Linked DNA regions of Drosophila melanogaster. The gene in region 1 interacts genetically with each later gene. Each region holds a gene or a part of one and is shown on either strand. Other genes may lie near its edges. The genes, in order: Nipped-A and run.

The links.
Region 2: of Nipped-A (region 1) and run, changing one enhances a phenotype caused by changing the other (phenotypic enhancement), as found in Drosophila melanogaster (one study listed by BioGRID).

What each region holds. Positions count from the first base shown.
Region 1 is NT_033778.4:5,247,808-5,252,728, reverse strand, and holds the start of Nipped-A (Nipped-A), read left to right. Parts: upstream 1-1,706; 5' UTR 1,707-1,763; coding exon 1,764-2,000; intron 2,001-4,921. UniProt on the Drosophila melanogaster protein: Part of the Tip60 chromatin-remodeling complex which is involved in DNA repair. Upon induction of DNA double-strand breaks, this complex acetylates phosphorylated H2AV in nucleosomes and exchanges it with unmodified H2AV.
Region 2 is NC_004354.4:20,688,709-20,696,843, forward strand, and holds the start of run (runt), read left to right. Parts: upstream 1-1,961; 5' UTR 1,962-2,304; intron 2,305-5,402; 5' UTR 5,403-5,984; coding exon 5,985-6,693; intron 6,694-7,102; coding exon 7,103-7,926; 3' UTR 7,927-8,135. UniProt on the Drosophila melanogaster protein: Plays a pivotal role in regulating the expression of other pair-rule genes such as eve, ftz, and h.

The DNA.
Region 1 (4,921 bases):
GTCAAGGAATTAGACTCGTATATTGTGGAGATCCAGGAGATGACGCAAGACATGTCCTGACTTGTCTTGTCGCAAGGATGATTTCGATCAGATTAAATACTAAATACTTGTCTCTCAAACGTTGAGTTCTGCCTCGGCGTCGAGATATATTGTAAAAGCCCGTAGCCATTTCTTCCATTCATTTCGGAGGGTTGCCCGTCGATCGCCTCGCACTGAAACGGTTTTATGACAATGGTTTTATTTCCAATATGGGACCTAGAGTTGGGGTTTATAACGAAAACAACTATTAGATGTTTAATTTGTCTTGTAATTATTACCCATCCCTAATTCAATAATATCCCCGATTTACATTTGGGGATTAGTTGTTTTCGTTTGTTTGTTTGTTGTTTCTTCTTTGGCTTGCGGAGGGTAGCCTGCTCCACCCGACCTTTATATTATTATTATTTTTTTATGGAACTCAGATTAATTACCTAGCTCTTTTCTTAATAGCTGGTAATAATTTCTTTTCTTCTATTTTTAGATTTATTTGTTTATGTGTTTTTATTAATTTCTTTTTTTATATGTTTTGGCTTGTACCACAGCTCCTCTCTGTAGAGCTCGGCTTCAAAATTCTTTATCTTGCTTTTCTTAATATGCTTTGGCTTATACCATTACTCAGCTTATTTATTTCAGTTCACTTGGCTGTCGGTTGAAGTCATTGAAGTCATATTATTAATATTGCCTTCAATAATTAGAAGTCTTGCAGTTCGATCGCTCGATCGACCGCACTGGAGTGTTAGGTGTCAACGTCGCGTTCCGATGCTTAGTTGATTGCAATGCCGGCCGCCACAGGGATCTTTTGAAATATACACTAGTCGGCATAAGTATTTTGACAAAAAAAAGCTGCACACTTGTCAGTGAAACTTTTAAATGGCTTGATATGGTAGTATTGACTATTTTTTATTTTTTGTGTGTAATTAATATAAACTTAAAAATGAACAAACGAAATTGTTTTTATTTAAATTTAAAAAGTTATAAGAAACTTAATGAAATATGATGATTTTTTGTTTCGGCATAAGTAATTTGACAGGCCTTCAATTCAAGGTAAATAAGTCTAAATGAAGCTGGATTAGCTCCTTATTGAAAAAATGAATTTGGTTTATCCGTTTCTTTCGTCATCTATGACGATATGACCCACCATTGAATATTGAATATTGAATATTGAAATATTGGCACTCCTTTATTTATTATACCATTGAAGTAATAATCCGAGCATTTCGACCGACTATATTAAAGAACATAATAAAAAATCTAGTTATACCGAATTATTACTACATCCACAAATAAACGGAGCTAAATGTTCTTGTGATTAAATCCATCACTAACAATACACATTATTTAGTATTTTGTATGTTGATTTCCCTACACGTAAATATTTATAGAATAACACAGTTATTGAAATAAAATAGCAATAAAAAACATTTAAATTTAACTTAAAGATAGACAAGCCTGTATCCTGCAGTAAACATGCAAATAAGATGGAATTAATTCCGTGCCAATTTTTAACACTGAAGGTTGTGAAAGGTTTAATATAGATGCATCTCTGTGGGAGCTCTATATTATATAAAAAATTGAAGCATTTCTAAAATATTTTTGCGTTCCTGTTTCAAAATTTCTTATATGCTATCTTGACAAACAATTAAATCGAATATATCGGTCATACAATTTCCGACTATTCCTTTTTGTTTACAGCGGTCAAGTTGTTGAACGAGTTAAAAGGCACAATGTCGGTTATTGAAAATGTACCGGTGAATACATTTCGGAATTATTTAAATATTTTAAATGATTCCTCTTCTAAAGACGAACTTAAGCTGAAAGCTACTCAAGAGCTAAGTGAACACTTTGAAATGATAATGCAAAGTCCGGCATATCCGTCGTTCTTAGATAATTCTTTAAAAATATTTATGCGGATACTTCAGGATGGCGAACCTCAGTTCATTCAAGAAAATACAATGCAACACGTAAGTTTTAAAATTCACCATTGCATGGGCCTTAAATGAAGAAACCATGTTTGGTTGAAATAACTGTCAATGAATTTCGGCTTAAATATATGTAGTTATCTTTTAAAATGCAAAGTTGAAAATATTTTGTGTTTACATTTGTAACTCCCAATAATCGGAACTTTTATGTTTGTACAATACAATTATTTTATTAATATATTTTATATACTTATTTATGTAAAGCTATCTATATAGTACTATAGGGAAACCTTTCGGTGCCCTAGTAACAATCTTTTAAAACTGAAAACCACTGTTTCTGATATTTAAAACGACCGTGCATTGTGTTTGTGCTACGCAACTTTAAGTTTTGCGCAGATATTATGCATACATTGCCAGAAGAAGTATTATTTAAAGCATAACTTTGATTGCAAAAAAAGAGTATATTTTTATTATCGATGTCGACTTCATTAATTTTAAAATTTGAAACACATTTATTATTTATTACGTCCGTAGGTTTTCTTAGGTAGTATTATGTTTGGCAAACCAATAAAAATTTGAAAGTCACATAAAATAAAAAATTCAACAGATTTCTCAAATATGTGGGCGTGGGGTGTTTTGAACAGCTTGCCGGCGGGGTAACATGCGACTAAGTCTCTGTAGACTCGGCTAGTGATCCTGATCAGCGGAAGTTTCTTAACCCATGTTGTCTGGGGCCTGCTTACATATTCAGCACTGTTCTCAGATAAAAGAATAAGCAGAGAGGGAGACTCCACCTAATGCAAACAAGCAGTATCCAAAGCGGAGTTACCGAATAATGTAAACTAAAGGTTTTTTTTTTGCTTTTACTCTACGAGCAACGGGTATAATCATATATAATAAAATATGTCATCAAAGTTAGGCTTTAAGTGTTTACGCTGATACGGATGATACTGTTCCATAATGACTCCATTTTGCATCAGTTGGCGGTGGCTATATCTGGCACGGATTAGAAGATTTTTAATGTGCCTTCTTATATTCACCCGCCTCACATCTCAAATCTAAGAAATAAATTTTACTAGAGTTTTGTCCAATGATGTCCGAAACGTGCGATCAAAAAAGGGAAAAAATATCATTGTTTTAAGACATTGCATGGATATACTTTTTTGCGGGATAAGGAAAATAATGGTTTATACGAGATTATGCTGCAATCTACAATGTCGCCGTAGAACCTGTTTGCGTAGTACCGCCTCAAATTGAAAAGGAGCAGATTTTTGCAAACTCGCATTGACTTTTTGGGACATGCCATTGAAGGTGGGCAAATGTGGCAGGCCAAAAAATATTAAAGCTGTACAATCATTTCTGGGGCTAACAGGATTTTTCAGAAAATTTGTTCCAGGATATGCTTTAATCGCGCGTCCGCTGAAAATTTTTTTTGAAAAAAGATGCACTTTTCTACATTGGTGAACATTAAGCCATACAGCAATTAAAAGACGACTCAGACATTCCCGTACGGCAAATTTACACAAGAGATGCAGAGACAGAACTACACAGTGGCTCTTTAAAGGATGAATTTGGAGCTGTGTTGCGGCAGATGGTGGACGGCAGTTTTCATCCGGTTTATTATTGGAGCAGGAAGACTTCCGAAGCCGAATGAAAGCGACATAGCTATTACTAAGAAGACAAAGCAGCGTACATAGGTATGAAGAAGTTTCGTCACTACCTGCTAGGAATATAGTTCAAGCTCATTACAGATTGTGTCGCTTTTTAGCAGACTACAACCAAACAAGACGTACCGAGAGATGTAGGACCATGGATTATGTAAATTCAAGACTTCACTTTTACAGTAGAACACCGTGCCGCAGAAAAAATTAAGCATGTTGACTGCCTTAGTCGCTTTCCATAGAGTATGAGGGTTACTACAGAGATTACGTATTAAAAAAGCCCAGCAGGACGACGATTACACGACTGGTCAAGTATTTTTGGCTTTCCAACATGTATTGTAATCGATACAGGCTCAGCATTTACCTCGATTGCGTAAAAGGAGTTCACAGAAAGGCATAATGTAAAGCATGTATGTATAACGAAAGGAGAGGCAATGGCCAAATATTGTAGAAAATGTAAATCAATTTTGGCAATCATATCCAAGCTGTCGGCAGCGGAACCATCCAAGTGGGTCAAATATGTAATGGAAGTACAACAAATAACGGAAGCTGCTGTCCGTGAGGTTGGAGATAATCGATGAGCTTCAGAAACAGAAAAATCTCAACGAGCTCGAAGAACTGGCTTTTTACGAAATTGGAAATAATTTGATGTATTCTCGTGACTCTTAAATCCTCTGTTCGGGGGAGTTTTTAAACTGGAAATATCGAACAAATCGCTGAATTGCAATATCGCCCAAGTAATAGCTGGACACGCCGAGTCAGCCCAAATAGGAGGAGCATTTGGAAGACTTGAAGCAGCAGGACTCTGGAGACTGGATTTCGCATTGGCAAGCTATGCGCCATAGGTAGAATGTAATACAACATCTGAGTTCCGTAGTTCCGCCCTTCTTGCCCCAAGTCTCAGCCCTTCAACATGTGCCTTCTGTAATGCTCCTGGGAGCGCCCTAAAAACCTGACCCCGTCTGATCAATTAAAATTAGCAAAAAGGTTCGAACTTTTTTCTGATTCACATCTGCACTCTGCGTAACGTCTGCTACTCTTCTTGCTCAGAATCTTAGTAAGGATGTTATGCTCGTAGCCACTGCCACCGTATTAGCGATGAACCGATTAGGAACATTTGTTTCTTGTCGCGCTCTTCTCGACTCTGGATCTCAACTGCACCTTATCCATCCATATTTGCATATCAGCTTTAACTTAAGAAGACGAAACCGGAGTACCGGAGTAGGCGATTTCAGTTTTGATACACATGGTTCGTCATTAAATATTTCAATGTGAACTCAAACGTCTAAATGCTCGACCGAC
Region 2 (8,135 bases), on another chromosome or scaffold:
GTTTTAGGCATTTCAAAATTCAGTTTTGTACTCAAAACAAAAATAAACAGAATAAAGAAATGATCCCCTATCAACACTTTCAGTAAATTTAAAATAGGAAAAAACAGGCAGGTCTCGAATGAAAAACCATAAATCACATGATTCGTATTGATGGAAAACTTACTATAAATATCAAAAGATAATATAAAACGATGCCGATGATCACGAAAAGTGTCCTTTGATCAAAAACAGCCCAAAACATAACCGAAGAACCTTTGTTGTGCCAACAAATGTAAACAACTTGCACACTCCTCCGACTTTTCTTTACTGTTTCCCGTTTTTTCGGGAGTTTTTTGTAAACAATTTGTAGGGGACATGTGTAACAATCGCCAGAGATCATTAGGATTTCAACGCCGATCGGACAGCTGCATATTTTCCCCCACCAATTTTCGCCTCTTCCATTTTCCCTTGGCTAATTGTCGCGGGCCCAAAAGAAAGTCCATTCAAAATGGTTACGGATCGTTCCTGCCAAAAATCCATTGTTCTTAAGTAAATAGAGAGGGGCCAAGTCAACGAAAACTGAGGAAATATATATGTATGTGCACACAAGGAGCACAAATGATCGCTGAAAAATCCATGACATGTGTCCCAAGCAATCCAAGGATCCTGGGATTCGGCCAAGATGGAGTAGCGCACACGGGCCAAAGAACAGCTGGCAGTCGGAAAAGTGTGTGGAAAACGGTGGAAAGCCAGCCAATGCATGGCCACCTAACCAAAACACAATTTTGTGGGAGTGTCGCAAAGGCAAAGAATAAAAAAAAAAAGAAAACCAAAAAAAAAAAAAAAAGGAAAAGGTAAAAAGAAAAACAGAAGGAAACCCGAAACACACTCATTCCCCGTTTTTCACCACACGAAAGAAAATAAAAAACACCCCCAGAACGCAGAAAAAAAATCACTCAAACAAGCGTTTTCCAATGGAAAGTGGTGAACCGGCTGTGGTGTAATTTTTTCCGAGGGTTGAATGACGTCGCCAGCGGGGGAGGGGGATGGGGAGGAGCGGTCGGAAGCCGCTGCCGACGTCGCTGCCGACGTCGCTGCCGGCAGCACTGCCAGCGCCACAACCAAAACAACAAACCACAATTCACTTACACAACGCCGCAGCCGCAGTCGCAGTCGGTCCGCTGCCGCCGCGCTGCCCGCTTTTCCGCTTTTCCACTGCTGCCTTTTGTAAATAAAGAAGAATGCGCAAATTGGCGGCACAAATTGTTAAATACACTTTTCAGTATATTTTCAAATATATTCATAACGAAATAATAAGTTTGTTTTCCCTAAAAAAAAAAAACAAAACATTTATGCACGTTTTATAATACTTTACAAATATTTGTTGAATAAATTGATTATTGTATTTATTATAAACGCTTTTGAGCTATTAAAAGATATTTAATTTTTTACTACAAAATATGTTTCATGCTTAAATTAAATAATTTAAATTGAATTTCAGTTTCACTTTATACAGATGCTTAGTTAAAACAGTTTTTCGTCGTTATAATCGTTTCAAAAACGCATCAATATTGTTATTGTTCACTTGTCATTTGAAATAGTTAAACTAACCAAACACCGAAGGGTACAAAAATGTTCCTCGATTGGCAGTCGCTTTTGTTTTTTATTCTCCTGTGGCAGTGAGCATTTCCCCTGCGCCACTGGAATTTCCACGGTGCCAGAGTTTTCCGCTCTCTGTCGGTAATTTTTGTTGGGGGTTCTGGGGTTCTCCGTGGTCAATGGCTCCTGGCTCCTGGGATCCCTGTGCATTCAGTATAGCCTGGATAACGGTTGTGCGAGGAGCTCCATGAGGAGAGGCGGAGCCACGATCGGCGCAGCCGTCTCGTTCTCTCCCATAACGATCGCCCTACTAATAAATCATCCCCTCTTGGATGTCAGCTATTTCCGTAGCATCTGCTCGCCAACGGTTGGCCGATCTCTGCGGTTACCCCAGCCCCTCGAGCGTAGGTGCCTCTCTTTCGTTCGCCTGGTGCCGTCTCTTTCTGCGAGGGGGAGGGATCTTGCGCACGTATATGAATAATTCAACTGATCGCCGTGGTGATTGGGGGATGAACGGAGTACTGGTTTGTCCGTTCCTCGGAGGTGCGGAATGCACAGATCGTAGTTCTGATACCCATTCATTTCGAGGAAATTTATTCAGGAACGTCACGGTATTTGCATAAGTGAAATCGTATCTCACAGTTAGCAGCCTGTATCGTAGATTGATTACTAAAATACTTTTCTAAATAATCTGCACTAAGATATAGTTCAGATTGCGTAAGATCGGTAAGTACAGAAGCTTTTAATCGCACTGGAAGTTTTATTTACCGCTCACGACATTTGCATAGATGAAACCGTATCTTACAGATTCAAGTAGCTTGCGTACTAAACTACTGTACAAAAAATATCTGCACTAAGAAATAGTCGGGAGTGATTTTTTATGGTGAAGTACAGAAGTAAATTCAGCTAATTAAGCCTCGCTCTTTTTTGTTTTAAATTAACTGCTCAACAGCAGTGAGAAAAACATTGCATATATTGAGTACATGAATACAGGTTACTGTCGCCTTAATCTCCCATCGGTTAATCCCGCTAAAAAGCGAAGTCCTTTGAGTTTTTGGTGGCCAGGTAGGCACTTTCCGTATCAGATGCTCGTTGCTTATTTTTTGGGAACATATTTTATGGCCCGTGGCGGCGGCTAATCGGCCAAAATATTTGCGGGGCGTGCTGCTTAATCCGGGCGATTGACTTTCATAAGCAAAGGATTAAGATTGCGCGGTTGGACTACCTGTTTTGAGGTGCGATATCAGTACATGCGATGGTACATCTGAGGGCCAGGTACGTCAAAGCCAGTAAACCCATAGTTTTCCCACTTTTTTGGGGCCGCAAAAAAGCATCGGAGGGCCCATAAAAAAAGGGTTGATCCTTTTGGCTGCTGTGGGCTCGTAGCGAGTTCGGTATGGAGATCAGGTACTGCCTGGTGCTCGGTGATCCCTATGAGGCGGTCCTGCGGGTCCTGCGATGCGCGTGCTGCGGCAGCTCCTGTCGCAAATTGCCAAGGAATCGCAGCAGGATCCAAGAAGCGACGACAGGAGCGCTGATTTCCCGGGAAACCGGCAATCGTCAATCGGCCATCGGCAATCGCGTCCTTGTCGCACGCCCGCTAAACCTGCGCTGTCCTGCCATATATCCCGGGGCTATATGGTGTGAAATCGGTGTAGGGACACGAGGTCCTTCGCAGCGAGCGGCCGCGCACGTACAAAAGGCAGCGCTGCCGATACACTGGATTTACTGGAAGTGTGCGTCTATAATGTCCAGCTGAGAGCGGCGCGTTCTCGCGACATTTTGGTTGGTCTTGCCTCGTAGTTCCCCTACCAGAATGGCCATGCTCCCCATTCCTTCTCCTCCTCCTCCACGCGGTGCCTGGAAGAGTCCGCCACCTCGGAAAACTCGCGGGTCCTGTGTGGCCTCGTTTTTAAGGTTGTTTTGGTGGGCCGCAATTTTTTGGCCAGTCAGGCACTTGATTTGCGTTCCACTGCACGAAATGAGTGTTGAAGGAATTGAGAATATTACTTTAAATTGTCAAGTCAAGTGTCAAGTGTTATTCAGCAGCTCTTAAGAATTAATACACAGTTAATCCATTTTACATTAAGTTAATTAAATCGTTCATATTTCGTTTTTGAAGCTAAGTTTCGTAATCTGAATTACTATCTATGTATGTGCTAATCACTTAGCCAATCGCTAAGCAAAATGTACAAATCTTAAAACCTAAGTAAACGTAGATTAGTTTGAAGAGAGTTCAATGTAGGCAGCCAAAGATACTCGATGTTCTTCCAAGTATGACACTTCCGCATCAGATTAAATCCGATCAGCTAGCTAAACCTGATCCAATCAAGGATCGGCGATCGCAGGCAGCGAAAATGGAAATGAAATCGAGCCGGATTGCGCCACACGAACTGAGAGGCGCACAAATATTTACAGGACTAATCGCAGGATAATCGCCCGATCAGCATTAGGATTAAGTTCGATCCCCGGAGAGATCGATGGCACTGCATCTTAGATAGTACTGGAAGTGGACCGGACCTGACAATGGGTGTTAGTTGGACAGATTCAGATCGGAGATTGCAGATCAGTTGATCGAGTTCCGAGTTCCGAGATCGGCGATAAAGTAAATTTTGGGCGGAATCGAGAAAAACATTGAGCAACACTGAGGGATCAGTGTGCCGTAATATGATCAGCCGGGGATTTCTGATTATTTTGAATGAAACACTAATTTTTGGGACATTTTCGAACAATGGGACGCACTGTTATGCACGTGTATATGTTTATTAATTAGATCTGATCTTAAATTACTTAACTTAACTTATTTGAAATGAAATTATATGGATAACGTTGATGCATATTCAAAAAAAAAAAAATTAACACTGGAAATGATTAGTTTTTTGAACAGATTATTAAAACGATTTGTAGCACTAATAATGATGTATTTAAAATATCGTGCTTATGTTGATATATATATTATATATATATATATATATATATTATTATATTTATTATATTTTTTTCGGCATCTTCATCTTAATCGATAAGATACCTTCGAAAGCAATTAAATATATGATAATAAATACAAATATAAAGGAAAATATAATTCATCTTATGATAGTATGGGATAGTGTGTACTATATGTACTATAGATTATTATCATAATTGAAAATCCCATGTTCCAAAATTTTCCAAACTCCACAATCGTATCACCCATGAAATTAAAAGGCTTAAATCCTTTTATCCCAAAGTCATAGTGATATAGCTCTCCTGATGCTTGTGATAATATTTATGATAATTTCGCAACCTGATCCCTCCTCGCACTGACTAATTGAGTCCTCATGTCCTGTCGGCAGGACGCCCCTGGCATCCTAGCTACTCGGGAAAGGGAAGGCAAGGGAACGAGAAGGAGATGGTGAAGGGAACCCCCCGTTTGGCCATGGGTGCCTACCTGTACCACCCGCCCCCGCCCCCCTCGACGAACCCCTCCGCAGGAGGGCCGCCAAAACACGCGCGCCGCTGGAAGTGGAAAATGGGAAACTGTTGCACGGCCGTTTTTCTTTTGGCGTGCGTGGCGAAAAAATAAAATTCAAAGCGAAGAAAAGGAAAACGCACACAATTTCCAGACCGCCCGTGGGGAAAAGCGAGAGAGGAAGCGAGAGCCAGAGCGAGAGAGTGGAAAAGTCTCGGTGTATTTCTTTTTTGAGTTTTTCTTTGGTGCAATTTCCAGGCCATCACTCTCTCTCTCTCTTTCTCGCTCTCGCCCATGCGATTTTCCTTTTTTCCGCTGTTATTTTTTCCTTTTTGGCCACAAGTAACAAGCGACTTCTCTCTCACGTACACAGGCACACTAACACGACAGCCAAACACACACACACACACAAACACACAGAGAGACCGCAATGGAAAAATGGGAAATTTTTTGCTGTGGTTGTTGTTGCGGCGGCAATGGTGGTTGCTCGATATACCGATATATACCTGCCCCGGCACCCTTAAAGGCGCGCCTGTGTGCGTAGGTAGCCAACCACACCACCATACCGCCCAGGATAATGGGCGGGAAAGAGACGGCGCTAGCGCCGTGCAAGTGGGACGGGGCACAAACGCCGGCAGAGCCGTCGACAGAGGCGGCGAGCAGCGCATTCCACTTTAAATACTGCCAACGATCGCAGCAGAGAATCAGTTCACTCAGCGACTTTAGCGTGTCGAGAACGCACAGAGAAATATATCGTTTTCGACTTTGGAAAACAGAAACAGGCTCGAAAGAAGCAGAGTTCGAAATCGCGAAACAATCCAATAACAACAAACAAACGAATTTTTTCCAAGTGACCCCCGATAAAGTGAAGTGCATACCGAGAATCCGCAATAGAAAACCGGCAATTGTCGACAGCCCCAGGATTACGGCTACGATTTCCACATTCGGATACGAGATGCATCTGCCAGCGGGTCCAACGATGGTGGCCAACAACACACAGGTCCTGGCCGCTGCCGCCGCCGCAGCAGCCGCCGCAGCGGCCGCGGTAGCCCAGGGTCCTGGGCCGCAGCAGAGTAGCAATGCCACCACCGCCTCCGCAATCGCCATCAATCCCGCCCAGAGTCTGGCCAACACGAGCACCCACTCGGCCAGCAGCACGGGCAGCTCCACACCAGATCTCAGCACGAACAACACCAGCTCGAGCAGCAACGCCACCACCAGTCCGCAGAACTCCGCCAAGATGCCCAGCTCGATGACCGACATGTTCGCCAGCCTGCACGAGATGCTGCAGGAGTATCACGGCGAGCTGGCCCAGACCGGATCGCCCTCGATCCTCTGCAGCGCCCTGCCCAATCACTGGCGGTCGAACAAGTCGCTGCCCGGAGCCTTCAAGGTGATCGCCCTGGACGACGTGCCCGATGGCACCCTGGTGTCCATCAAGTGCGGCAACGACGAAAACTACTGCGGCGAGCTGAGGAACTGCACCACGACCATGAAGAACCAGGTGGCCAAGTTCAACGATCTGCGCTTCGTGGGACGATCGGGACGCGGCAAGTCCTTCACGCTGACCATCACCATTGCCACCTATCCGGTGCAGATCGCCAGCTACAGCAAAGCCATCAAGGTGACCGTCGACGGGCCACGGGAGCCAAGAAGTAAGCAAAGTGAGTTTTTTAGTTTCCATTATGTTTTCAGTTTAATCCACTCCCAAAGATCCCCAAAAAACCAATTCAGAAACCGTTTGCATATCTTCAATTACAATATTCATAGTTTTGAAAACATTTGCCAACACTAACTAGTTATGATCTTAAATAACTAATGCCATTTTTAAGCTCAACTTTAAATGATCAGTCTGTTTTGAAATGATTGCATTGATCACTTTATCTTAAAGATTTTATCATTATTTTTGCTTATCCTTTTGCAATTCGGTTTTGATACACATATCCAAGGATCTTGAGATCCATTGCCGCCAACCAAATCCCCCACCATCCCCCCAACCTTTTTAAAAACGCATTCCGATGAAATACGAGTTGTGCTTTACTGACTTCCCGCCCTTTTTCTTTATCCTTCCAGGCTATGGCTATCCCCATCCCGGCGCGTTTAACCCGTTCATGCTGAATCCCGCTTGGCTGGATGCGGCGTACATGACCTACGGCTATGCGGACTACTTCCGCCACCAGGCAGCCGCCCAGGCGGCCCAGGTGCATCATCCGGCACTGGCCAAGTCCTCGGCTTCCTCGGTGTCGCCAAATCCCAATCCATCGGTGGCCACCAGCTCCTCGTCGGCGGTTCAGCCATCTGAGTATCCCCATCCGGCGGCAGCAGTGGCAGCGGCGGCGGGACAACCGGCGGCCATGATGCCATCGCCACCGGGAGCGGCGCCTGCCACGCCCTATGCCATTCCGCAGTTCCCATTCAACCATGTGGCCGCCGCAGCCGCCGCCAAGGCAGCCACGCCACACGCCTTCCATCCGTATAACTTTGCCGCGGCAGCTGGCTTGCGGGCCCGCAATGCTGCCCTGCACCACCAGAGCGAGCCGGTCCACGTCAGCCCCGCCTCCTCCAGGCCCTCCAGCTCCTCGCCCACCCAGCAACACGTCCTGCTGAAGCTAAACACCTCCATCGAGACGAGCTCCATCCACGAGCAGTCCGCCAGTGACGGCGACTCCGACGACGAGCAGATCGACGTGGTCAAATCGGAGTTCGACCTGGACAAGAGCCTGGATGTGGCGCCACTTCGCATGCGCTGCGACCTGAAGGCGCCCTCGGCCATGAAGCCGCTCTACCACGAGAGCGGTCCTGGAGCGGTAGCCAACAGCCGCCAGCCGTCGCCGGAAACGACCACCAAGATCAAGAGCGCCGCCGTGCAGCAGAAGACCGTGTGGCGGCCCTACTAGGGCATCTGATCCCCAAAAATCTGGAGGAATGAAGAAAACAAAGTGATATAACAGCGGCGACGCAGAGCGGCAAGCGGGCAAAAATTATAATTGTGATATAGTGTTATAAGTTACGACGCCTCCGGCCGGCAAACGGAGCAGCCTCATCAGTGGGATAGAAGGATAAACGGCAGCGGGAGCAGCAGCATCAACTAGCTGAGCAAAAGTTA